Sus scrofa: one gene and its partners. The protein of the gene in region 2 purifies or fractionates together with the protein of the main gene of each other region. This does not show direct contact. Links are inferred from orthologs where the notes say so. Each region holds a gene or a part of one and is shown on either strand. Other genes may lie near its edges.

Region 1 (7,605 bases), on a different chromosome or scaffold from region 2:
AGTGCGGCCTGGCTTTCAAGTGGTCGTCACACTACCAGTACCATCTGCGCCAGCACACGGGCGAGCGGCCCTACCCGTGCCCGGACTGCACCAAGGCCTTCAAGAACTCGTCCAGCCTGCGGCGCCACCGGCACGTGCACACGGGCGAGCGGCCCTACACCTGCGGCGTGTGCGGCAAGAGCTTCACGCAGAGCACCAACCTGCGGCAGCACCAGCGCGTGCACACGGGCGAGCGGCCGTTCCGCTGCCCGCTCTGCCCCAAGACCTTCACGCACTCCTCTAACCTGCTGCTGCACCAGCGCACCCACGGCAGCGCCGCGCCTGCCCCCGCCCCCGGCGCCGCCCCCGCCCCCCGCGGGAGCCTGGCAGCAAGGGCCTGGTTCCCGAGGCCTACCTGCAGCGGCACCTCCAGCCCCCCAGCCCCCCAGCGCCCCCGCCGCCAGCGCCCCCGCCCGTGGTGCCCGAGCTCTTTCTGGCCGCGGCCGAAACCACGGTGGAGCTGGTGTTCCGCTGCGACGGCTGCGAGCTGGGCTTTGGCAGCGAGGAGCTGCTCCTGGAGCACCAGCCCTGCCCCGGGCCGGAGGCGCCGCCCCCACCGCCGCCCCAGGACGCGCCCACAGAGGCTCCCAAGGCCGCCCCGCCGCCGCCGCCGCCGCCGCCGCCGCCCTCCCCCCTGCCGCAGCCCCCTGCCGCCGCCGCCGCCGCCCCCGGCTTCGCCTGCCTACCCTGCGGGAAGTCGTTCCGGACGGTGGCTGGCCTCTCCCGCCACCAGCACAGCCACGGGGCTGCGGGTGGGCAGGCCTTCCGCTGCGGCAGCTGTGACGGCGCCTTCCCGCAGCTGGCCAGCCTCCTGGCGCACCAGCAGTGCCACGTGGAAGAGGCCGCGGCCGGGCGCCCGCCCCCGCAGGCCGAGGCTGCTGAGGTTACCTGTCCCCAGGAACCCCTGGCCCCTGCCGCCGCCCCGCCGGCCCCCACGCCCGCCCCCGCTTCTGTGGAGCGGCCGTACAAGTGCGCCGAGTGCGGGAAAGCCTTCAAGGGCTCGTCGGGACTGCGCTACCACCTGCGGGATCACACAGGCGAGCGGCCCTACCAGTGCGGCGAGTGTGGCAAGGCTTTCAAGCGCTCGTCGCTGCTGGCCATCCACCAGCGCGTGCACACGGGCCTGCGGGCCTTCACCTGCAGCCAGTGCGGACTCACCTTCAAGTGGTCTTCGCACTACCAGTACCACCTGCGGCTGCACTCAGGCGAGCGGCCCTATGCCTGCGGGGAGTGTGGCAAAGCCTTCCGCAACACGTCGTGCCTGCGGCGCCACCGGCACGTGCACACGGGCGAGCGGCCCCACGCCTGTGGTGTCTGCGGCAAGAGCTTCGCCCAGACCTCCAACCTGCGGCAGCACCAGCGCGTGCACACGGGCGAGCGGCCGTTCCGCTGCCCGCTCTGCCCCAAGACCTTCACGCACTCCTCCAACCTGCTGCTGCACCAGCGTACGCACTCTGCTGAACGGCCCTTCGCCTGCCCCATCTGCGGCCGCAGCTTTGTCATGGCCGCCTACTTGCAGCGGCACCTGAGGACGCATGCCCCGGCCAACACCGCTTCTGGCTCTGCAGTCCCCCCTGCCGGCCCCCAGCCCCCTGCCCCACTGGCTGCCGCTCCAGCCCCTTCTGCTACCCAAGATGTCCACGTCCTCCCCCACCTCCAAGCCACACTCTCCCTAGAGGTGGCAGGGGGTACGGCCCAGGCCCCACCGCTGGGCCCAGCAGCCCCCAATTCCCAGACGTTTCTCCTGGTGCAGACCGCACAGGGCCTCCAGCTGATTCCCAGCAGCGTCCAGCCCCCCACACCCCCGCCCCCACCTGCACCCCCCAAACTCATCCTGCTTCCCTCTGGTACTGGTGGTGGGGGCAGCCGTGCAAGGCAGGGCCCAGGGACAGTGGGGAAGGCTGGTCAGGGGGCTGGGGTCGTTTGGCTGCCAGGCCCTGGGGGACTGGGGGTTCAGGGAGGGAGCAACACCACAGCCAGCACAGGTGGGCAGAGCCTTATAGTTCTGCAGAATGTGGGGGGTGGGGAGACAGGGCCACAGGAAGTGAGTGGGGTCCAGCTCCAGCCCCTTCGGCCAGCGCCGGAACTGACCACAGTCCAGCTCCAGCCGGCCCAGGAGGTGGCCACGGTCCAGCTCCAGCCGGCCCAGGAGGTGACCACGGTCCAGCTCCAGCCGGCCCAGGAGGTGACCACGGTCCAGCTCCAGCCTGTGGCAGGTCAGCTGTCCAGTTCCAGTGGGGGAGCCGTGGCCACCGAGGCCCCTAACTTGCTGGTGGTTCAAGGTGGGGCAGCTGAGGAATTGCTGGCAGCACCTGGCTCTGGGGAGCCTGGTGATGGTGAGGCCAGCACAGGTGTGGTCCAGGATGTGCTCCTGGAGACGCTGCAGACGGATGAGGGGTTGCAGAGTGTGCTAGTGCTGAGCGGGGCTGACGGGGAGCAGACGCAGCTGTGCGTGCAGGAGGTAGAGACCCTACCCCCAGGGCTGGCAGAGCCTCCAGCCCCTGGCCCACCGGGACAGAAACTGCTCATCATCCGCAGTGCTGCAGCCACCGACCTGCTGGAGAACAGTAGCGTGGGGGGAGGTACCGCTGCACTGCAGCTGCTGACCCCACCACCGGGCCCAGCCTCTACTCCAGCGGGCATCCCTGGGGCTCCTGCTTCCCAGATGGTCCAAGTGGTCCCTGCTGGAGCTGCACCTGGGGGTATGACCCCACAGGGCCTACCCTCCATCCAGATTGTCCAGACTCTGCCCGCAGTCCAGCTGGTGCACACGTTTTGAGTAGAACCACTGGTACCTCTTCCCGCCCCACACAGAGACCCTGACTCACTGTCCGCATTGGCTGGGCTGAGCTGAACTGTGGGCAGGGGAGCTGCAGGCTGGGCTTGCTAATAAAGACCAGAATCGTCTTTCTTGTGCTTTTGTTTTATTGGTGGTCTGGGAGGTCCTTGTTATGGCCGTAGCCACCATCTGGGAACTTGGAGTCTCACTTGTGTTTTGGTTCTCAGGTGGCTTGCTTTGCGTCTTGGGGCCAGACGCTTCTCCTATGTGGGGCTCTGTTTATCCCTAAAAAGAAGAGATGCAGGGATCATTATAGGGGGATGCGTTGGAAATCCTTGCTCCGGCACTTGTTCGCCGTAAGTCACCCCCCCACACGGAAAAATGGATGAGTGGGTGGGAATGCGCATCACGAAAGTCACCGAGCCCGGGTGGGTTAGGGTTGGCCAGTGTGAGAGCGAGAGGGCTCAGGATGCTGACGTGGCCCCTCCCGCGAAGGCTCCGGAACCAATGAGCATTGATCCGCTCTCTTCGCCGTCCCGCCCCCCTGCGCTCCGGTTGCTGAGCAACCAGGCGACCTCGGGAGGCCAGCGTGTGTTTCCTTCGCGCGTCGGGTAAGTACCGCTCCCCGCCCCCACCCTGCCGGGTCCACAGTTCCCATCCCCCCCATCCCACCCCCTCCCCAACCCCTATCGGCTCTGGTCCTTCTACAGCCCTCCTTTCCCCATTTCCCTTTCTCCCCGCCGCAGGGTCGCTGCTCCTGCCCTAGTCTCTTCCCAGCCCACGCCCTCCTTCCTCATCCCCCCTCCAGAAGCTTGACCGTGGTTGCTAAGGCTGAGGGCAGGCGCTGCCTACCCCCACAACAGTGCGCGAGTATTACGTCACTTCCGCCGGCTACTCCTTCCAGACCCTGCTTCCCCCCCACACACACTTGTCAAAAGCAAAGTGACCCGCAGAGGTGTTTGCAAGTTCTTGTGCCTGCGACAGACCCCTTTCGGGGGCGATTGGGGGGTGGGGAGCTCGGTCCATTCCCTGGCTGTAGGGGGAGTTTCGTTCACCCGTCGGGCAGCCACGGAACTTGGGAGGGAGCCTGGCCTTGCCAAGTGCTGGCGTACACGGGGCCTTCAGGCGTAGATCGCTGAACGCCCCTGGGGGCCGAGAGGCCTCCCGGGAGACTTTAAAGTGGTGGTCGGGTTGAGAGGGAACCCTGTTCTGTCTCGGACCTCGCTTGGGGCCGCGACTGTCCTCCTTGTTCTCATCCGGGAGATGCTGCTGCGGGTCCGCAGCTCTGGGGCGCTCTGGGGAGCAGAGGTGCCCTCCTGACGCTGACCTGCTCATTTTCGCCAGGTGCGCGCCTGCTCCCTTGGGGGCGCAGGAGCTTGGGGGCTGCCATGGCACCCAGCCATCTATCAGTGCGGGAGATGAGGGAAGATGAGAAACCCCTAGTGCTGGAGATGCTGAAGGTGAGAATGGGCAGGGCCGCCAGGGGGCCTGGGGCGTTGGGTGGCGGGGCGCCAAGGAGCCAGAGAGGGTGGAGGGCAGTGAGGGAGGGCTGGACACCCGCGTGCTCTGGAGGAGACGGGGACAGAATGAGGGGGCACCGGAACCCTGCCTGGGAAGGGGCGGGGGTGAGTGGCTGCAGCCGCGCTGAGCCAGCCCTGATCCCTGGAGAGCTATTTTTTCCTCCTGAGGGACTTCCTGGCTTGGCCCCTTCCCTTTTTAGTACCTTCTGTGTGCCCTGGGGGTCCAGAAGAGTTTTAACGGTTCCAGGGCTGTGCAGCCCACCACGCACCCACTCCTTCCCTATTTTCCCCACTTCCCAGGCTGCCCTGCCCCCAGCCTCCTCGCCCACACTCTTCAAAGTAGAGCCCTCGGGCCTCAGCCTAGCCCTCGAGTGCCCCCAGGTTCCCCCTCCAGCTTCCTCTCCTGTTGTCCAGGGTTGTGATCCTGCTCTGGCTTGGGGCAGTTCCTCCATCTAGCCTTCTCTGGTGCCTCGGGCCTGTGTCTCCACTGAATTAGGACCCCCCACACACACACACACCCGCCGCCGCCAAGCTCCTGAGTCACCTGCTTGCTCATTAAACCCCTGTGCGGCAGATGTGCCCGCAAGCCCCTCTGCCACAGGCCCCAGCTCAGTGCCATCCCTTTGCCTCAGATCCCTCCCCAGCAGGGTCCGCCCCCCCTCCCAGTCCCTGCTCCCCACGGGAGCCCCACCGCTCTGACTGCTCCTCCTGCCCGCAGGCTGGTGTGAAGGACACAGAGAACCGAGTGGCCCTCCACGCCCTCACGCGGCCTCCAGCCCTGCTCCTCCTGGCGGCTGCCAGCAGCGGCCTGCGCTTCGTCCTGGCCTCCTTTGCTCTGGCCCTGCTCCTGCCTGTGTTCCTGGCTGTGGCGGCCATGAAGCTGGGTCTGCGGGCCCGGTGGGGCTCGCTGCCCCCACCGGGTGGCCTAGGGGGACCCTGGGTGGCCGTGCGGGGCTCGGGGGATGTGTGCGGGGTCCTGGCTCTGGCCCCAGGCTCTAGCGCTGGGGATGGGGCCCGGGTCACCCGCCTCTCTGTCTCTCGCTGGCACCGCCGCCAAGGTGTGGGCAGGCGGTTACTGGCCTTTGCCGAATCTCGGGCTCGAGCCTGGGCAGGTGGCATGGGGGAGCCCCGGGCCCGGCTCGTGGTCCCGGTGGCCGTGGCCGCGTGGGGTGTGGCAGGGATGCTGGAGGGCTGCGGCTACCAGGCCGAGGGGAGCTGGGGCTGCATGGGCTACACGCTGGTGAGGGAATTCAGCAAGGACCTGTGACTCCAGACCCCAGAGGGAGGAAGCCAGTGCTTAGAGAGCAGCTGCTGTGCACAGGCGACTTGACACCCTCCCTTTGCCCACTCAGGGCCTAAAAACTGAGGCCGCCAGAAGGCAAGAGACCTCACCGCAGTCTGACGTCTGCCTGTCATGTTTGAACTTGTCAGAGAGGTCACGCTGTCCAGCCCCTGCTTCGGGTTCTCTCTGCACGGGGAGACCTCCCCGTCTGGCTGCCACGCCTGTGCCACCTGTGCCACGGGCCTGGGGAGATGTGCGGCGGGAAGAGGGAGGCTAAGCGAGTACGCCCCCCCCAGGGTTAGGACGTGGCGGGGGCACCCCTCATGGGACAAGGCCCCTGGGGAACTGGATGGGGTTGATGCCTGTGCTTGGAGGGGGTGGGGCTGCAGAAGCAGCAGAGATGGGGTGAGCAGAGCCTTGGCAGAGGAGGGCTGTCTGTCTGGAGAGAGCTCCAGGGGAGGGGGGCAGTGGGCCCAGGGCTGCCCGGCCAGGCCAGCCCTTCCCTGGGAAGGTGAGAGCCGAGCGGGGCAGCCAGACCCATCTAGTTTTTTACACTCGTTTGTTAATAAAACCTGAAACTGCTGTGAGCCCATCTCCCTCTCTCTCTCTGATGCCTTTTCCAGTCCGTCTCTGAACCCCCGCTTCTGGCTGGCTCCTCCTTTCCCAGGGTTGACATTAGCTGTCGGTGGGGGTGCTGGACTGGCAGCGGGGGATGCAGTGAGCTCACGGCGGCGGCCCTGCTCCCTGCCAGCCCTCTGACTCACGCTCCCCATTACTGCATTTTTTCCGCCTCACAGCTGCTTGGTGCAGAGAGAGAGTGTGGGGCTGCCCTCCCCCACTCAGGCCTGACCCTCGATTGGCCCAACCCCTGGCCTCAGTTTCCTCAGGAGACACACAAGCTCGACCACTGCTCCCCTCCCTCAGATGCGGGCTGGGGACTTTGTGTGCACATCCCCCAGGGGAGTGGAGAGAGGGGTTTCTTAGTCTCCTGTCTCAATCAAGAAAGTCCTTCCTGGAGTCTGGCTGCACATCTCTTGCTGCGCCCTGAGCCCCAGATGTGCCAGGTCCCTAACCGGGGCGGCTGAAGTGCATCTACCCTCAGAGCCCTCTTCCCTGGTCCCACCAGCCTTCCCTGGCTGAACAGAGAGGAGATTGAGCCCCGCCCCATGCTCGCACCCCCGTGTGCACCCCAGTTCGGATCCCTCCCCGCAGCCTGCCGACCCCTGAGCATCTCAGCCCAGCGTGCCTTCTCCTGGCCGGGCCGCCCTTCTCCCGCGTGGGTGTCTGCAGTTGGACACTCTCCCTCCCGCCTGCCAACGCCCTCCTCCCCAGGCCTCAGGCGCCGGCCAGCCCCCTCCCCGCCCCCACTCCTGTCCCCTGCTGCCTCCTCGGCAGCCTCTCTTCCTCCTGGCAGAGCGTCCAGCCCAGCCTGCTCCTCCCTGGGTCCAAGGCGCCTTCAGCAGGCAGGCGCGGCCCTCCCTCCCTTCCTCCCAGCGGTGGCCGCCACCTCCTCCCTCTCCGGCTCCAGTCCCCTCTCACCCCATCCCCGCCCCGACTCTGCAAACATGAGGGTCTTGGCCTGCCTCCTCGGTGAGTGACCCCTTCTCCTCGGGGATGCAGGGGCCTGAGCCCTGCCCTCTGACCCCTGAGCTCAGCCACTGGGAGGCCTCCAACTTCTGGGCCAGTCCCTGTTCCTCGGGGGATGTGGGGCTTCTGCCCTCCGGCCTGATCCCCCAGGGTCTCCGCCTCTGGCACACTCAGCCCCACCCTCTTAGGCCCACCCCAGGAACCTACCTGCCGCCCCCACACCAGCCCTGACCCTGTGGGGTGTCACCCATCCTTTAACCTTTAGCCAGGCCTCTGGGGAGCGCGAAGGGCTGGCCCCCTGCCTGGACCTGAGGCGTCTGGGGCCCCGCCCACCTCAGGGACCTGAACCTTGCCAGGCCCTCGGCTCAGAGCCCTGCTTCCTAGCTAGCGGGGTTTCT
Region 2 (7,035 bases):
TTCTGTTTCTGAATGACCTGTATTTCCAGACATCATGGCAGGTGGTAGAAATATAAACATGGAAGCTCCTAAGTACCATGCTTCCTTCCCCCTGGTACCCAGGGTCCCCCTTACCCATTTTTGAGTCCTCACTAACCACAAGGTATTGAATTAATTAGCTTCTTACTTTTTAAAAAAATTTTTGGCCACTCCATGGCATATAGAGTTCCTAGGCCAAGGGATCAGATCCAAGCTGCAGTTGTGACCTATCAGATCCCTAATCCACTGTGCTTGGCCTGGGATCGAACCTGTGTCCTTGTGCTGCAGAGACGCTGGTGATCCTATTGCACCACAGCGGGAACTCCTAGCTGCTCGCTTTTAATGAAGTTTTCTTCTTCTCAGTGAATGTGGAGTCTTAGATATAAGCCTAGCGTGTTTTTGTTCATCTTCAAATCTTTTGTTGGCATGCTTTTGTTACAATCTTCAAAGGCACTACTTGTTGCTGAAGAATTCATTATGGTTTAGAATTAAGGAGCTGAACAATTCTGCTATCATGGGCACTGAAGACTATCTCAAAGAGAAAGAAAAGCAGTTCTAAAAAAAAATATAGGTAAGGCCCTCAGGTCAGTGATGATATTTTAAAAATGGTAACTGTCATATTTTTACTACCCATCATAGATGTTCTCAGGCCATTATTATTATTTTTTTTTTGTCTTTTCAATATCAGGTGCTTTAAATTTACAAGACACGTTTTTGTATATATTATCCCATTGGAACTTTACTGGTGAAGTCTTAGCATAGAGCTCACCTACTGCAGTGATGCTATGGATTACAGGTGAGTGGATTACTGATCCCTTCATTTCCTGGGGCTGCCAGCCACAACTGCGAAGCTGGCACCTCCTGCTTTGGTCACCTCCATCCCAGAGCAGCCTCTTTGGATTACTCCAACGTGCCTTCATTTTTCTTTCTTCCCTTCCCTTCCCTCCTTCCTTCCTTCCTTTCTTTTTTAATGGCTGCACCCAGAGCATATGGAAGTTCCCAGGCCAGGAATTGAATCTGAGCTGCAGCTGCAACCTATATCACAGCTGCAGCTATGCCAGATCCTTTGACCCACAGCACTGGGCTGGCAATCAAACCCACACCTCTGTAGCGATGTGAGTGCTGCAGTCAACTTCTTAACCCACTATGCTACAGTAGGAACTCCACCTTCATTTTTTAATAAGTGCCACGATGTATAAAAGGATAGGAAGCCCTGTAGAATCCCTTCTTTCCCAACATGCAGAGAAAGAGACAGGCTTGAGAAGTAAAGAGATTGTTTAAGAGCATCACAACATGGGCATCCTTCCCCTTATACCATGTCCCTTCTCAACGATGGACTTTTCAGTTGGCCATGATTGAGTTGAATATAGGGAATAAAATCAATTTAGATAAATTAGATCCAAACTATAAAATATTTGTTGAAAGTGCTAGAACATAGGTGGTTGAAAACAAGGACTGTGGGGCCAGCTTGCCTGGGTTTGCATCCCAACTCCATCATTTAGCAGCTGTGTGTCCTTGGGCAAGTCACTTAACCTCTCTGGGCCTCCGTTTCCTTATCTCTAAAGTGAAGTTAATAATAATTTCTAGCTGGTAGCCTTGTTGTGAGGACTAAATGAGTTGATCAGTGTCAAATACTTAGAACAGTGCTTGGGCTTGGTATATCCTAAGTATCCTTCAGTCACCATTATTATTATATACATTGTATGCATTGGCTTCCAGAGTGAAGAACCAGAACTTACTCTCCAGAGTGGTGGGTGACAGCTCTGCTGCTTGATCCTGGGGCAGCTGGCAAGAGCAGCTGAGCAATTGCTGGATGATTCCTGGACTCATTTGCTTAAAGTCTTCTTTAGAAATGGGTGAAAGCCGGTTCTGTAGAAATATCTCCACCAACTGCCTGGCAGAGAAGCAAGTCTGTACAGAAAAAACATCCATCTTTACCACCTTCAGCACTGAACCAAATTCACCCTCCACCTACATCCTTGAGGAGTCAGAACAAAACCGAATGGCTTAAGTCCACATGTGATGTTATTATTACTACATGTGTTTCTCTGCAACCTTTAGTCACTAACTCATTCCTGAGGATTATTTTTTCACCTCTGATTAAAGTTAACTATATCCCACTTTCATTTTGAGTATTAGGTAGTAGGAGTTTTGCTTAGGTTTTTCTTTCCTGAAAAGTTGCACCATGTCTTGCAATGTGTTGGCTGGTATTCTAACCAGCAGCCTAAGGAAGCCATGACGCTCTTGGTGGTTTTCAGTGGGGATGGCTTTGTGTTAACAAAGCTAAAACTTCATATGATAAACAGGAGCTCTGCGGTAATGAGATCATAGCTTTAATACTCTCTGATTTAGGCGTTCCTGTTGTGGCTCAGTGGGTTAAGAACCTGATACCATGCCTGTGAGGATGCAGGTTCGATCCCTGGCCTCACTCAGTGGGTTAAGGATCTGTCCTTGCCGCAAGCTGCAGTGTAGGTCGCAGATGCATTGTGTTCCCATTATGGCTCAGTGACTTAAGGACTCAAGGCAGTCTCCACGAGGATGCAAGTTCAATCCCTGGCCTCTTGCAGCAGGTTAAGTATCTGGTGTTGCAGCAAACTTCAGGGTAGGTTCCAGATGTGGCTCAGATCTGGTGTTGTTGTGGCTGTGGCTTAGGCCTCAGCTGTAGCTCAGATTGGACCCTTAGCCTGGGAACTGCCATATGCTATAGGTGTTGCCATAAAAGGAAAAAAACCTTACATCTAAAAGTTTTAATATGTAGATGAGAATAGTGTATAGTTTTGCCAGCGCAATTGGATGTATTTATCGAAATAAGACCCCAATGCAAGATCACTGTGATCTTTACAATAAGGTTTTTTAAACAATCAGTGATGTATAAGGATCATCTGATTTGTCATGCTGTAGAAAGGAGGGATTTTAAACAAAGGCACACAGCTAATCAGAAAACAATGATGACACATTTCCTGGTTTTCCCCACACAAATATCCTTTGGGACGATTCCAAGAGTTAAAAAATTTTTATCTTGACTGGGAAATATTTGGTTGCATGAAACAGAAGCCCCTCGAATCATCAGACACCATAAGGACAATGTATTAAGGTTATAGAAGAGATCTAAGATTAAAAGGGGTAGCCACATGTGAAGGGAAGCTCAACTGGAAGCTGGAAGATAGGACCGAAGCGTTTTCTTTCTCTGTCTCTTCCAGGCTCAGTATTTTCTCCTTTCTCTTTCCCTCTGTAAATATCCTTTAAGATTCTGGCCTTCTCTCTTTCATTAATACATGGCCATTTGTATACATGCATGGCCCCAACTCTAAAGTGACCTTTCAGTCCCAGATTGGGATTGAGTCTACAAGTCCTGACAGATCTGATGGGTTCGGCAAAGCCAAGGATGGGCTTTCTTGGGCCAGCTGCCTATGCGATTCCATCGGTTTGACCCCAAAGATAGAAGGTCAGATCATGCTATTCAAACACCGCTGCTGAACTCAGCCCTATGGGTGAGGAAGGCATTTCTCAGAAAGGGATCGGACCAAAACTCCAAAGGCTTCTACAGCAAGAAGCAAGAGTGGAAAGCTAACCTTGTGATTTTTTTTTCCCCCTTTATCAAAATTATTTACACCAAAGACAATATTCTCTTTTGCACCATTTACTAATCATGGAACATAATGATTTCGTCATTTAAGAATACTAGCAACACTAAGGGAAAACTTATAACAAACCTCTGATGAAGAATCCTTCATAATAAATATGCTTATTGAAAAATGCCTGACTGGGAAATAAAAGGGTGCTGAAATAAACATGAACAGAAGGCCGTGTGTCTTTCCCCAGTTCACGGTCGAGGAATTGAACAGTTTCCAGCCTCACACTAACTTCTGGTAGAGTAGGGCTCTTCTTTTTTTTTTTTTTTTTTTTTGTCTTTTTGCTATTTTCTTTGGGCCGCTCCCGCGGCATGTGGAGGTTCCCAGGCTAGGGGTCGAATCGGAGCTGTAGCCACTGGCCTACGCCAGAGCCACAGCAACGCGGGATCCGAGCCGCGTCTGCAACCTACACCACAGCTCACGGCAACGCCGGATCGTTAACCCAGTGAGCAAGGGCAGGGATCGAACCCGCAACCTCATGGTTCCTAGTCGGATTCGTTAACCACTGCACCACGATGGGAACTCCGGGCTCTTCTATTATAAGCTTCTATGCCCTTGATATTTACTTGCTAGTCCTGTGCTATTTAGCTCATGGTTGTATGACATTCCTCTGAAATCACTAATCCAAATGTCCTTAACGGTGATTCATTATATTCTACAAAATTCTAGAAGATAAAATGTTTTTGATAAGGAAGAAAATAGAATGAAAATGTCAATTGCCCCAGCCCATAACCTTTAAAGTAGCTTTATATTCATCCATATAATTTACTTTTTATAAAATTTCAATATCCTTGTATGCTTATGTTGATTTGAACAGATGTCTGTGGAAACTTTATGTTTAAAGTGTTGCTTCCAGAACTCTAGTTTTGAGAACCACTTGGAGAACTTGTTAAAAGACAGAGTGCTAGGCTCCACAATCAGGGTTTCTGATGTGGTGGATTCTGGCAAGGACCTGAGAATTTCTGTTTCCAACAAGGTCCCAGGTGCTATTAATGCTGATGGTCCAGGGACAACACTGCAAGAATTACTGGTCTAAATAATACATGCAGGATCTTCACATCCAGTCCCCACCTTAGGGACTCCTCGAGAGTCACCAAAGAGTGGCATGTTAGAAGAGAGAAGAGTGGAGAAAGAGGCTGTTGTGTTTCTTTTGCATGGTCAGCACAGAAAATGCTCATTACTATTCTCAGAAGATAATTGCCTTAGGTAGATAACCCCTACATTTAATAACCTTCATTCTTTAGGCAAATAGGGTCTCCATCAGACAAATGTGTTCCCTTCCTAAGAACAGGCCCTGAAAGAACATTGAAGGAGATTTCAAGGATTAATGTTGGCAGCCACTCTTGTTACCTGCAGTTGAATACACTAAGTGTGACTTTGAAAGAATCAGCTTTAACTGATGCCTTTTTTGTAAGGCCTCATTAACAGAAATTTACTTTTTTAAAATATAAGAGCAAAGATATGTAAGATCACCCAATCACGTATTTATAATTTAGAGGAGCAACATTCATTATTGTTAGGAGTATGGAAGGAAAAAAAATACAGACTGCACTTAATTGGAACACTAACTCATCCAAGATATAAATTTAAAAAGTATCATTTCTTTTTCTTTTTTTTTTTTTTTTTTTACAGCCTTACCTGCAGCATATGGAAGTTCCCAGGCTAGGGGTCAAATCAGAGCTGCAGCTTCAGCCTATGCCACAGCTACAGCAATACTGTAGGGATCTGAGCTACATCTGTGACCTACATTGCAGCTTGTGGCAATGCTGGATCCTTAATGGATTGAGTGAAGTCAGGGATCAAACTCACATCCTCATAGACACTACATTGGGTCCTTAACCCACTGAGCCACAATAGGAACTCCTGTAACATTTCTTTAAAGCAACATTTCTCTGACAATAACATCACTGTAAAGAGCCCAGCATAAGCTACTGGACAACCTACATATATATCCTCAGTTTCCCTTTACTTAAGCAACTACTTATCAACTCCACCTCAGTTTCTTCATCTGGAGGATGGACTAATATAACCTAACCTCATATAGTTGTTGTAATAATTGAATGAAAAAATGCAGGAAAATTGTGCAGTGCCTAATGCATAATAAGTACTCAATAAATGGAAGCCATTATCACGGAATATCCGTCTTTTAAGATTTCATTTTTTATGAAAATATACTTGATTGTCTATGTTGTGCCAACTTCTGCTGTACAGCAAAGTGACCCAGTCATACATATATATATATATATATACAGCTTCCCTGTACCGTACAGTAGGACCTCATTGCTTATCCATTCTAAATGGAATAGTTTGCATCATTGTTTAATATTTCACATAATTAGAGCAGGGAAGGTTTCTATGATCAGAGTCTGAAAAATAACAGATTCAATAAGATTAAGGGATTTTATTTACTGAAAGACCTCCCCAGACACTTTGATAGGCTACAGTGCCATATGCATCTCTAGTATTTAACTTATCCATCCAACAGATTTGACCACAGAACCCCTTTTCAAGAATTATTTGTTAGACTAGTGAATATACAACTTTAGGAAATAAGGATATGAATATATTTATAGGTTGAGCTATCACCTCTTCTCAAAAACCTCAGTGCTGCCTACTATACATATATTTGTCTTTTGTTCACAGCACAAAGTAATCTCTTTGTAATCTAACTCTTAAGTGTTCATTCATTGTAAGTTTTTATATTATTATTTATATAATATGTTTCTATAATATCACTACCCCATTGTCTCCTAGGAACTGAGCCTGTTTTTGTTCAGAACTCCATTACTAGCACACAATGATGACTAGCACACAGTAAATGCTCTCATATGTTTGCTGAATTAATTATTCATGCATCCAGTATGGACCCAATGGAGGAAAGAGCAATATATGGATCATTCTTATAAATATCTTGGCCTCAAGTCTATGTCTGCAGAGATCCACTTGTAAAAGAGAAAAAAAAAAAAAAAAAAAAAACCCTGACCACACTGTGGAAATAGATTATTTTTACATTTAAGGAAATATACATTATCCTTTAAATTTACTACAATTCTGATAGAATTTTCACAGCTACTTCCCTTGACAGTAGCAAATGATGATAAAAGAGGAATAGTGACAATACCTGATCCCAGGAAAGTGGACCATCGTCTGACTCGTGGTCCACGGATATAGATAGATTAGGGTAGTCCCAATCATGGATTGTTTGGTTGTTTTGTTTCCTTTGAAGTTGATGGATTTTATCTTTTCTGATACAGGCACTTCTGGTCCAGAGAGTGTTGAGGAGTTGGTCTAGCTCTAGAAATTTCATACAAAATCTGGTGTCAGAATAAAGACAGGCCAGTTTCAGAATAATCACAATTTCACATGGCCACAGCACAGATATTTT
Region 3 (7,477 bases), on a different chromosome or scaffold from region 2:
CCGTCGTGGCGCAGTGGTTAACGAATCCGACTAGGAACCATGAGGTTGCAGGTTCGGTCCCTGCCCTTGCTCATTGGGTTAACGATCCAGCGTGGCCGTGAGCTGTGGTGTAGGTTGCAGACACAGCTCGGATCCCGCGTTGCTGTGGCTCTGGCATAGGCTGGTGGCTACAGCTCCAATTGGACCTGGGAACCTCCATATGCCGCGGGAGTGGCCCAAGAAATAGCAAAAAGACCAAAAAAAAAAAAAAAAAAAGAGAGAGAGAGAGACAAAACACAAATACATAAATAAAGCACTGTTACACGGATTCATTCTATTTGACCCTATAAACTGTGTTCCTTTTCTGCAAATATATAGTAGATGTGTGATCTGAGAAATGTGCCTGGGAATGGTCTACAAAGCCTCTGAATTTTATCCTTACCTCGAGTAACATTTCCATCTCAGCTCTACAGTAAGGGGTAATTTAGCTAAATGTTTTTATTTATTTATTTATTGGTTGTGCCCTTGGAATGTAGAAATTACCAGGCCAGAGACCAAACCTACACCAGAGCAGTGACTCAAGACTCCACAGTGACAATTCCAGATCCTAAACCTGCTGTGCCACAAGGGAACTCTGGTAAGTGTTTTTATTTTATTTTACTTTATTTTTTTTTGTCTTTTTGCCTTTTCTAGGGTCACTCCTGCGGCATATGGAGATTCCCAGGCTAGGGGTCCAGTTGGAACTAGATCTGCCAGCCTACGCCCCAGCCACAGCAACATGGGATCTGAACCGAGTCTTCGACCCACACCACAGCTCACAGCAATGCCGCATCCTTAACCCACTGAGCAAGGCCAGGGATTGAACCTGCAACCTCATGATTCCTAGTCGGATTTGTTAACCACTGCGCCACAACAGGAATTCCTATTTTATTATTTTATTTTTATTTTTTGTCTTTTTAGGACTGCACCTGTGGCATATGGAGGTTCCCAGGATAGGGGTCTAATTGGAGCTACAGCTGCTGGCCTATACCACAGCCATAGAAACACCAGATCGTTAACCCACTGAGCGAGGCCAGGGATTGAACCCGAAACCTCATGGTTCCTAGTTGGATTCATTTCCACTGTGCCACGACGGGAACTCCAAGTGTTTTTATCAAATACACAATTCTATAGTGGACTGTGTCATGGGATTTTATCCAAGGATCAACAGTATCCACAGACTTCCTTTGCAATGAACCTTTGCAATTTCAGAGAATTACTTTTCTACCTGTACAGTGGGGGCAATAGTACCCACTTCTGAGGGGTTGTAATGATTCATTATTCTCTTAGCCAGTACTTATGAAGTGCATATTTGGCATTGTTCTAGATACTGAAGATAAAGGAGCAAAGTCCTTGGTGTCAGGGTCTAAATTCTAGTATGGGAAACAGCAATGGACCGATACAGATATACTGAGGACAAATATATTGGTGAAAAGTGCTAAGAAGAGAGTAAGAATGGTGAGTAGTGACAGTGAGAGAGCCTGAAGCTTTTGAATTGATGTTCAGAGAAGGCAGGGACCTCAAGTGGAAGGGAGTAAGCCATGTGGATGTGATGGCTCACATGTCACTCACACCCTGCAGGCCTCTGTATCAGCAAGTAGGCAGTGATGCTGGGGCAGGGTGAGAGGCTGATGGCTGAGAACAGAGTAAGGGATGGAGGCCGTGTCAGGTAGCACCTGTTGGCCCATTTCATAAGCTTTCAGTTTTATTTTCAGTGAGGTGGGGAGCCACTGAAGTGTTTGAGAAAGCAAGTGGCAGAACTGGATCAAGGTTTTTTTGCCTGTTTGTTTGTTTTTAGGGTCACACCTGAGGCATATGGAAGTTCCCAGGCTAGGGGTTGAATGGTAGTGACAGCTGCTGGCCTATACCACAGCTCATGGCAACACTGGATCCTTAACCCACTGAGAGAGGCCAGGAATTGAACCTGCATCCTTATGGTTACTAGTCAGGTTCATTGCCGCTGAGCCACAAGAGGAACTCCAGATCTGGGTGTTTTAAAAAGACCTACGTATTTAAAAAAGGCCACTCTATTCACTAGACAGAGTGAGGCAGGAGACAATTTAGGTTATTAAAATATTCCAGGAGTTCCTGTCGTGGCTCAGCAGAAACGAATCTGACTAGCATTCATGAGGATGGACAGAGGTTTGATCCCTGGCCTTGCTCAGTGGGTTAAGGATCCCGCATTGCCGTGAGCTGTGGTGTAGGACGCAGATGTGGCTCCATTGCTGTGTCCCTGGCATAGGCTGGCGGCTACAGCTCCATGGGCCCCTGGCCTGGGAGCCTCCATATGCCCTGAGTGCGGCCCTAAAAAGAGAAAAACACACACACAAAAAACCACCACAAAGTACAAAACAAAACTATCTGAACACATTTTTAAAAGTCAAGTCCTTGCAGGAAAAGTTATAAATCATTAGGACAGAATTGTGATGTCACCTTTTTCTTTTTGTTGTGTAAATACCCCCTTTAAGGGGTTTCCACTGTTGTATGGAGTCAGAGAGCCTGGGATGGGAGCGGAGGGTCCCCCGCTTTGGGCAGTGCGGTGGGCTACAGGCAGGCGATGATCAGACCTAGCCGGACCCCTGACCCGCGCCGCTCAGCTGGTCGGCCCCGCCCAGACGGTGACGAGTAATGCGGCTTCAATTGCCCACCTCTAAGATGGCTGCAGCCTGCTCCGGGGGATGCTGGGAGAGCCAAGCGCCCGGGAGGGGGCAGGTCTGGGGGGCGGGTCCAGGGCTGGAGTGGGGGCGGGGAAGGCGGCCTCCCGGCGCTGATTGGCCGGCTCTGAGTGGCTGTAGGCGGGCGCGCTGGCCGGCCTGGACGTGAGGGCGGTGGGCTAGCGGCAGCAGTGGCGGCGGCGGCGGCATCCCTCAGCGGCTGCTCCCCTCCGCGGCTGGCGGCGAGGGCGAGGGCGAGGCCGGCCGTGCTGGCCACGGGATGAGGAAGAGGGCCGAGCCTGTCGCTCTGGAGCATGAGCGCCGCGCCGTCTCGGGCTCGCCCTCCGCCGGCTCGGCCGCCTCGGCGCTGGACGCCGACTGCCGCCTGAAGCAGAACCTGTGCCTAGCGGGCCCCGGGCCGGCTGAGCCGCGCTGCGCCTCCGACGCGGGCATGAAGCGAGCGCTGGGCAGGTGAGGAGCGGCGGGGGCGGAGCGGGAACCATGGCACTCCGGGACTGCTTGCCCTCCATCCCGCGTGTCCCCCGACCCTCTCAGGGAGTCCCTCTTCGCCAGGTGCCTCCCTCGTGGTCCCTTCTGGCCCCGCGCCCCTTCCTCCCCAGGTGGACCTGGGGGACCCCGCCGGCGACTGGTCGACTAGCGCGTGTCGACGAGGGTGGGGAGGCCTTGAACGCCCGGCGCCGACCCGGCGGGGCGGGGCGCTCGGACCGAGTGTCCCTCTCGCCAGGTGGGCTGTTCACTGGGTGCTCGAATCTCTTTGCGGCGTCCTCTCCTGATAAACTGCCGTGTCCTCGGGGAAGGTCGAGGGGTTGGCTGTGTGCTGGGTGAGGAGGTGCACCGCGTCCTGGGGGAAGGTCGAGGTGTCGGCTGTGTGCAGGGGCAGGGGATGCCGCGTCCTTGGGGATGGTCGTCCTTGTGTTGGGGCAGGGGGTGCACCGCATCCTTGGCTGCCGGGGGCAAGCCAGTCCTTCGCGAGAAGCTGGCATGTGGTGCGTGGAATGTGTTCACAGGAGTCATCTCCTTGGGAATCTTCGTCCCGTCCGGAAGTCACCTGGTTATTTTCGGCCTCCCTTTAGGGAGATGAATGTGTTTATGTTAAACTAATCTCAGTTGAGATGGGAACGTGTTTCACGCTTGCAAATTTCTTCCCTTGGGCTAATTTCTTAATTATCTGGCTGTTTGTAGAACAGATCACTTAGGGCAATTTTGAAGTCTTAATGTTTCATGGTGTTTGAAAAAGTTAGCATGAGGCTCAGGTGTTGTAGCGGAGCCACTTCTTCTGAGGTCAACTGGAATGCCCTTAATTGACAGTGGCCACTTTTGTGTAAAATATCCAAATAGCCCCTAAAAATATCAGTTTCACTGCACATACTCTAATATACAAAAGTCAGATCATGAAATTAAGCTATATACTTCTCTAAGTCAGTGGTTCCCAGTCCTGCTCAGGACTGACAGTATTTTTGTTTTTGTTGAAATGATTTAGCAGTGGTCACTGTCTTTTGTGAAACTAATCTCTTTTGTGGGAAGTTTTTCTGTATTAAAAACTCGTGATTGGCCTTACTGAACTTTTATTAACAGGCTTGGCATAACACTTAGGTTGGGAACTCTTCCTTTGAAGAAATCAAATTGTGATCTCGATAATGTTTGGGGAAACAGTGCCTGCCTGGCACTTTCCTTGAAAGATGTACTGTATTAAAAGGATCTGATTATTTTTATTTTTGAGTTGAGGACAAAGAGAAGCATTCAGGTAGTGCTGTATCCTTTTGATAATAAAAGGCTGTCATGGGAATAAAAAGAAAAGCAGAGGGTGGGAAGACCAAATTTGTGCATTACCCCTGGCTTCCTTCCCTTTTGCCTGAAATGCTCTTCTGGACATTTTCCTGCTATATTTTCTCCTTCAGCCAGGTCTCCACTCAACTGTCACCCCTTCAGAGGGGCCTTCCCAGACTAGCACATCCAAAATAGGCTTGGTGCCACCTTCAACCCCCGTTGTCTGTTTACTTATTTCTTCCTCACACTTATCCTTACCTGACAATATGCTTGCCTGCACATTTGATTTGCTTTATGGGTAGTCTCCCTCACAAGAACGAAAGTCCTGAGAGAGCAGGGACGTTGCCCTCTTGGCTTCTGGCTCCAGTACTTGGCACATAGTAGGTGGGAAGACATACTTGTTGAATGAATATCTAGAATGAATTCCTAGACATGGAATTGCTGGGCCAAGGGGTGTATGTTTACGACTTTGAAAGGGAAGGCCAGGAATTTCTGTTGTGGCTCAGCAATTAAGAACCCAGCCGGTATCCTTGAGGGTATGGGTTTGATCCCTGGATTCACTCAGTAGGTTAAGGATCTGGTATTGCTGTGAGCTGTGGCTTAGTTCGCAGATGCGGCTTGGATCTGGTGTAGCTGTGGCTGTGGTATAGGCCAGCAGCTATAGCTTTGATTTGATCCCTAGCCTGGAAACTCCATGTGCCACAGGTGTGGCCCTAAAAAGGGGAAAGGAAAAAAAAGAAAGAAAAAAAGAAAACAAAAAATGGGGAGGCCAAAGTGCCCTCTCAAGAAGTTGTACTGGGGAGTTCCCGTCGTGGCTCAGTGGTAATGAATCCGACTAGGAACCATGAGGTTGTGGGTTCGATCCCTGGCCTTGCCCCAGTGGATTAAGGATCCATTGTTGCTGTGAGCTGTGGTGTAGGTTGCAGACATGGCTCGGATCCAGCATTGCTGTGGCTGTGGTGTAGGCCGGCGGCTACAGCTCTGACTTGACCCCTAGCCAGGGAACCTCCATATGCCGAGGGTTCAGCCCTAAATAGACCAAAAAAAACCAGGTGTTTTTATCTTTCTTTTCTTGATTGATGAAAACACATATAACTTGTAGCTTTAATTTGCATTTCTTAATGGTTAAGTGGCAATTTTTGTGTGTTTTTATAAACACCTGTAAAATTTTCGTAATTATTTACTTCTTTCATGACCTCCTTTGTTTGGGTCCTCCTGCACATTCTTATAACTTTCTATTCTGCACATGCTCTAATATACAAAAGTAAAGAAGATGATATAATGAATCTCTGTGTATCCATCACTTTCTTTCAGTGGTTTTCTATGTTTTTCTAATCTTGAATCATCTCTTCCTCCTCTTCTCCATTTTTGGTATGGTGGGAAACTATTTCAAAACAACTTATTTCATCCATAATATTTCACAATATGTCTTGAACAAACGATTTTTTTGAAATATGTATATATATATAGCCCCAGTGCTGTTATTATATTGTCAAAATTAAAATTAATAATTTATTATTTGTAATCAGTTTAATATGTAATATCCAATCTACATACACATTTCCCTGTCTCAGAAATGTCTTCTTTCCATTAGTTTGTTTCAAAATCCTATACATTTCTTAAGTTTATTCCTAGTCATTTTATCTTTTTTGTTATTGAAAATAGGATTTTTTTGATATTACATATTGATACTAGTTATATTTATTAATCTTGTAACTAACAATTTACATAATCTTAGTTTCAAGTAGTTTTTGCAGTTAATTCTCTTGGATTTTCCAGGCATACTATCATGTCAGCTGCAAGTAATAAGACTCTTGGGGGTTCCTGTCGTGGTGCAGTGGAAACGAATCTGACTGGGAACCATGAGGTTGTGGGTTTGATTCCTGGTCTCCCCAGCTGGTTAAGGATCTGGTGTTGCCATGAGATGTGGTGTAGGTTACAGACACTGCTTGGATCTGATGTTGCTGTGGCTGTGGTATAGGCCTGCACTGTAGCTCCGACTGGACCCCTGGACTGGACTGGGCCTGTAGCTGTAGCTGGGAACCTCTATATGACATGGGTGCAGCCCTAAAAAGCAAAAAAAAAAAAAAGTTTTGTCTCGTTTTCTCCTTTTTTGTCTCTTGTTTCTTTCCCTTTTTTGATTACATTGTATTTCCAGATCAAGCGATGGTATTGGGTACCCTTGTCTTGTTCCTGACTTTAATGACAATTCTTTTAGTGTTTTTGCCACATTATTTTACGAAAGAATGTGTTGCTGCTATTTTGTCTTTTATTATTATTTATTTATTTATTTAGGGCTGCACCGACGGGATGTGGAAGTTCTTAGGCTAGGGGTCAAATTAGAGCTGCAGCTGCTGGCCACAGCCACAGCAGTTCGAGATCTGAGCCACGTCTGTGACCTATACCACAGCTCACGGCAATGCTAGATCCATAACCCACTGAACGGGGCCAGGGATTGAACCTGCATCCTCATGGATACTAGTCTGATTCATTACCACTGAGCCACAAAGGAAACTCTTGTTTGTCTTTTTTTTATTATTTTTTAAATTATTTTTTATTTTTTGTTTTTGTCTTTTGTTGTTGTTGTTGTTGCTATTTCTTGGGCCACTCCTGCGGCATATGGAGGTTCCCAGGCTAGGGGTCCAATCGGAGCTGTAGCCACCGGCCTACTCCAGAGCCACAGCAACGCGGGATCCGAGCCGCGTCTGCAACCTACACCACAGCTCATGGCAACGCCGGATGGTTAACCCACTGAGCAAGGCCAGGGACCGAACCCGCAACCTCATGGTTCCTAGTTGGATTCGTTAACCACTGCGCCACGACGGGAACTCCTGTCTTTTTTTTAAATCAGAAATGATTGTTTAGCTTTATCAAATGCTGTTTTAGCATTTGTGAAATGATCATATGGATTTTGTACATTGACTTGTTAATATACTGAGTTATAGTAATTTTAGATCTCATATTATTGAATCATCATTTTATATTGCTGAATCATTATTATTGAATCATCACTGATA

The links.
Region 1: the proteins of SLC39A12 (region 2) and NAT14 purify together in Homo sapiens (co-immunoprecipitation; 3 studies listed by BioGRID and IntAct, counting the BioPlex papers as one, with this or other methods). This does not show direct contact. The link is inferred for Sus scrofa from reciprocal best matches to the Homo sapiens genes SLC39A12 and NAT14.
Region 3: the proteins of SLC39A12 (region 2) and ABHD12 purify together in Homo sapiens (co-immunoprecipitation; 3 studies listed by BioGRID and IntAct, counting the BioPlex papers as one, with this or other methods). This does not show direct contact. The link is inferred for Sus scrofa from reciprocal best matches to the Homo sapiens genes SLC39A12 and ABHD12.

Annotation. Positions count from the first base shown.
Region 1 is NC_010448.4:59,634,861-59,642,465, forward strand, and holds NAT14 (N-acetyltransferase 14), read left to right. Parts: upstream 1-3,313; 5' UTR 3,314-3,429; intron 3,430-3,695; exon of another isoform or gene 3,696-3,773; intron 3,774-4,162; 5' UTR 4,163-4,206; coding exon 4,207-4,278; intron 4,279-5,056; coding exon 5,057-5,605; 3' UTR 5,606-6,207; downstream 6,208-7,605. Other genes in the region: soluble scavenger receptor cysteine-rich domain-containing protein SSC5D, read left to right, coding at 6,787-7,210. UniProt on the Homo sapiens protein: Probable acetyltransferase. May act as a transcription factor that regulates the expression of coproporphyrinogen oxidase by binding to a promoter regulatory element.
Region 2 is NC_010452.4:44,271,978-44,279,012, reverse strand, and holds part of SLC39A12 (zinc transporter ZIP12), read right to left. Parts: intron 6,945-7,035; coding exon 6,772-6,944; intron 1,930-6,771; coding exon 1,758-1,929; intron 1-1,757. UniProt on the Homo sapiens protein: Uniporter that promotes Zn(2+) import from the extracellular space to the cytoplasm across the cell membrane. The transport activity is temperature dependent. May play a role in neurulation and neurite extension.
Region 3 is NC_010459.5:31,051,626-31,059,102, reverse strand, and holds the start of ABHD12 (monoacylglycerol lipase ABHD12), read left to right. Parts: upstream 1-2,795; 5' UTR 2,796-2,952; coding exon 2,953-3,143; intron 3,144-7,477.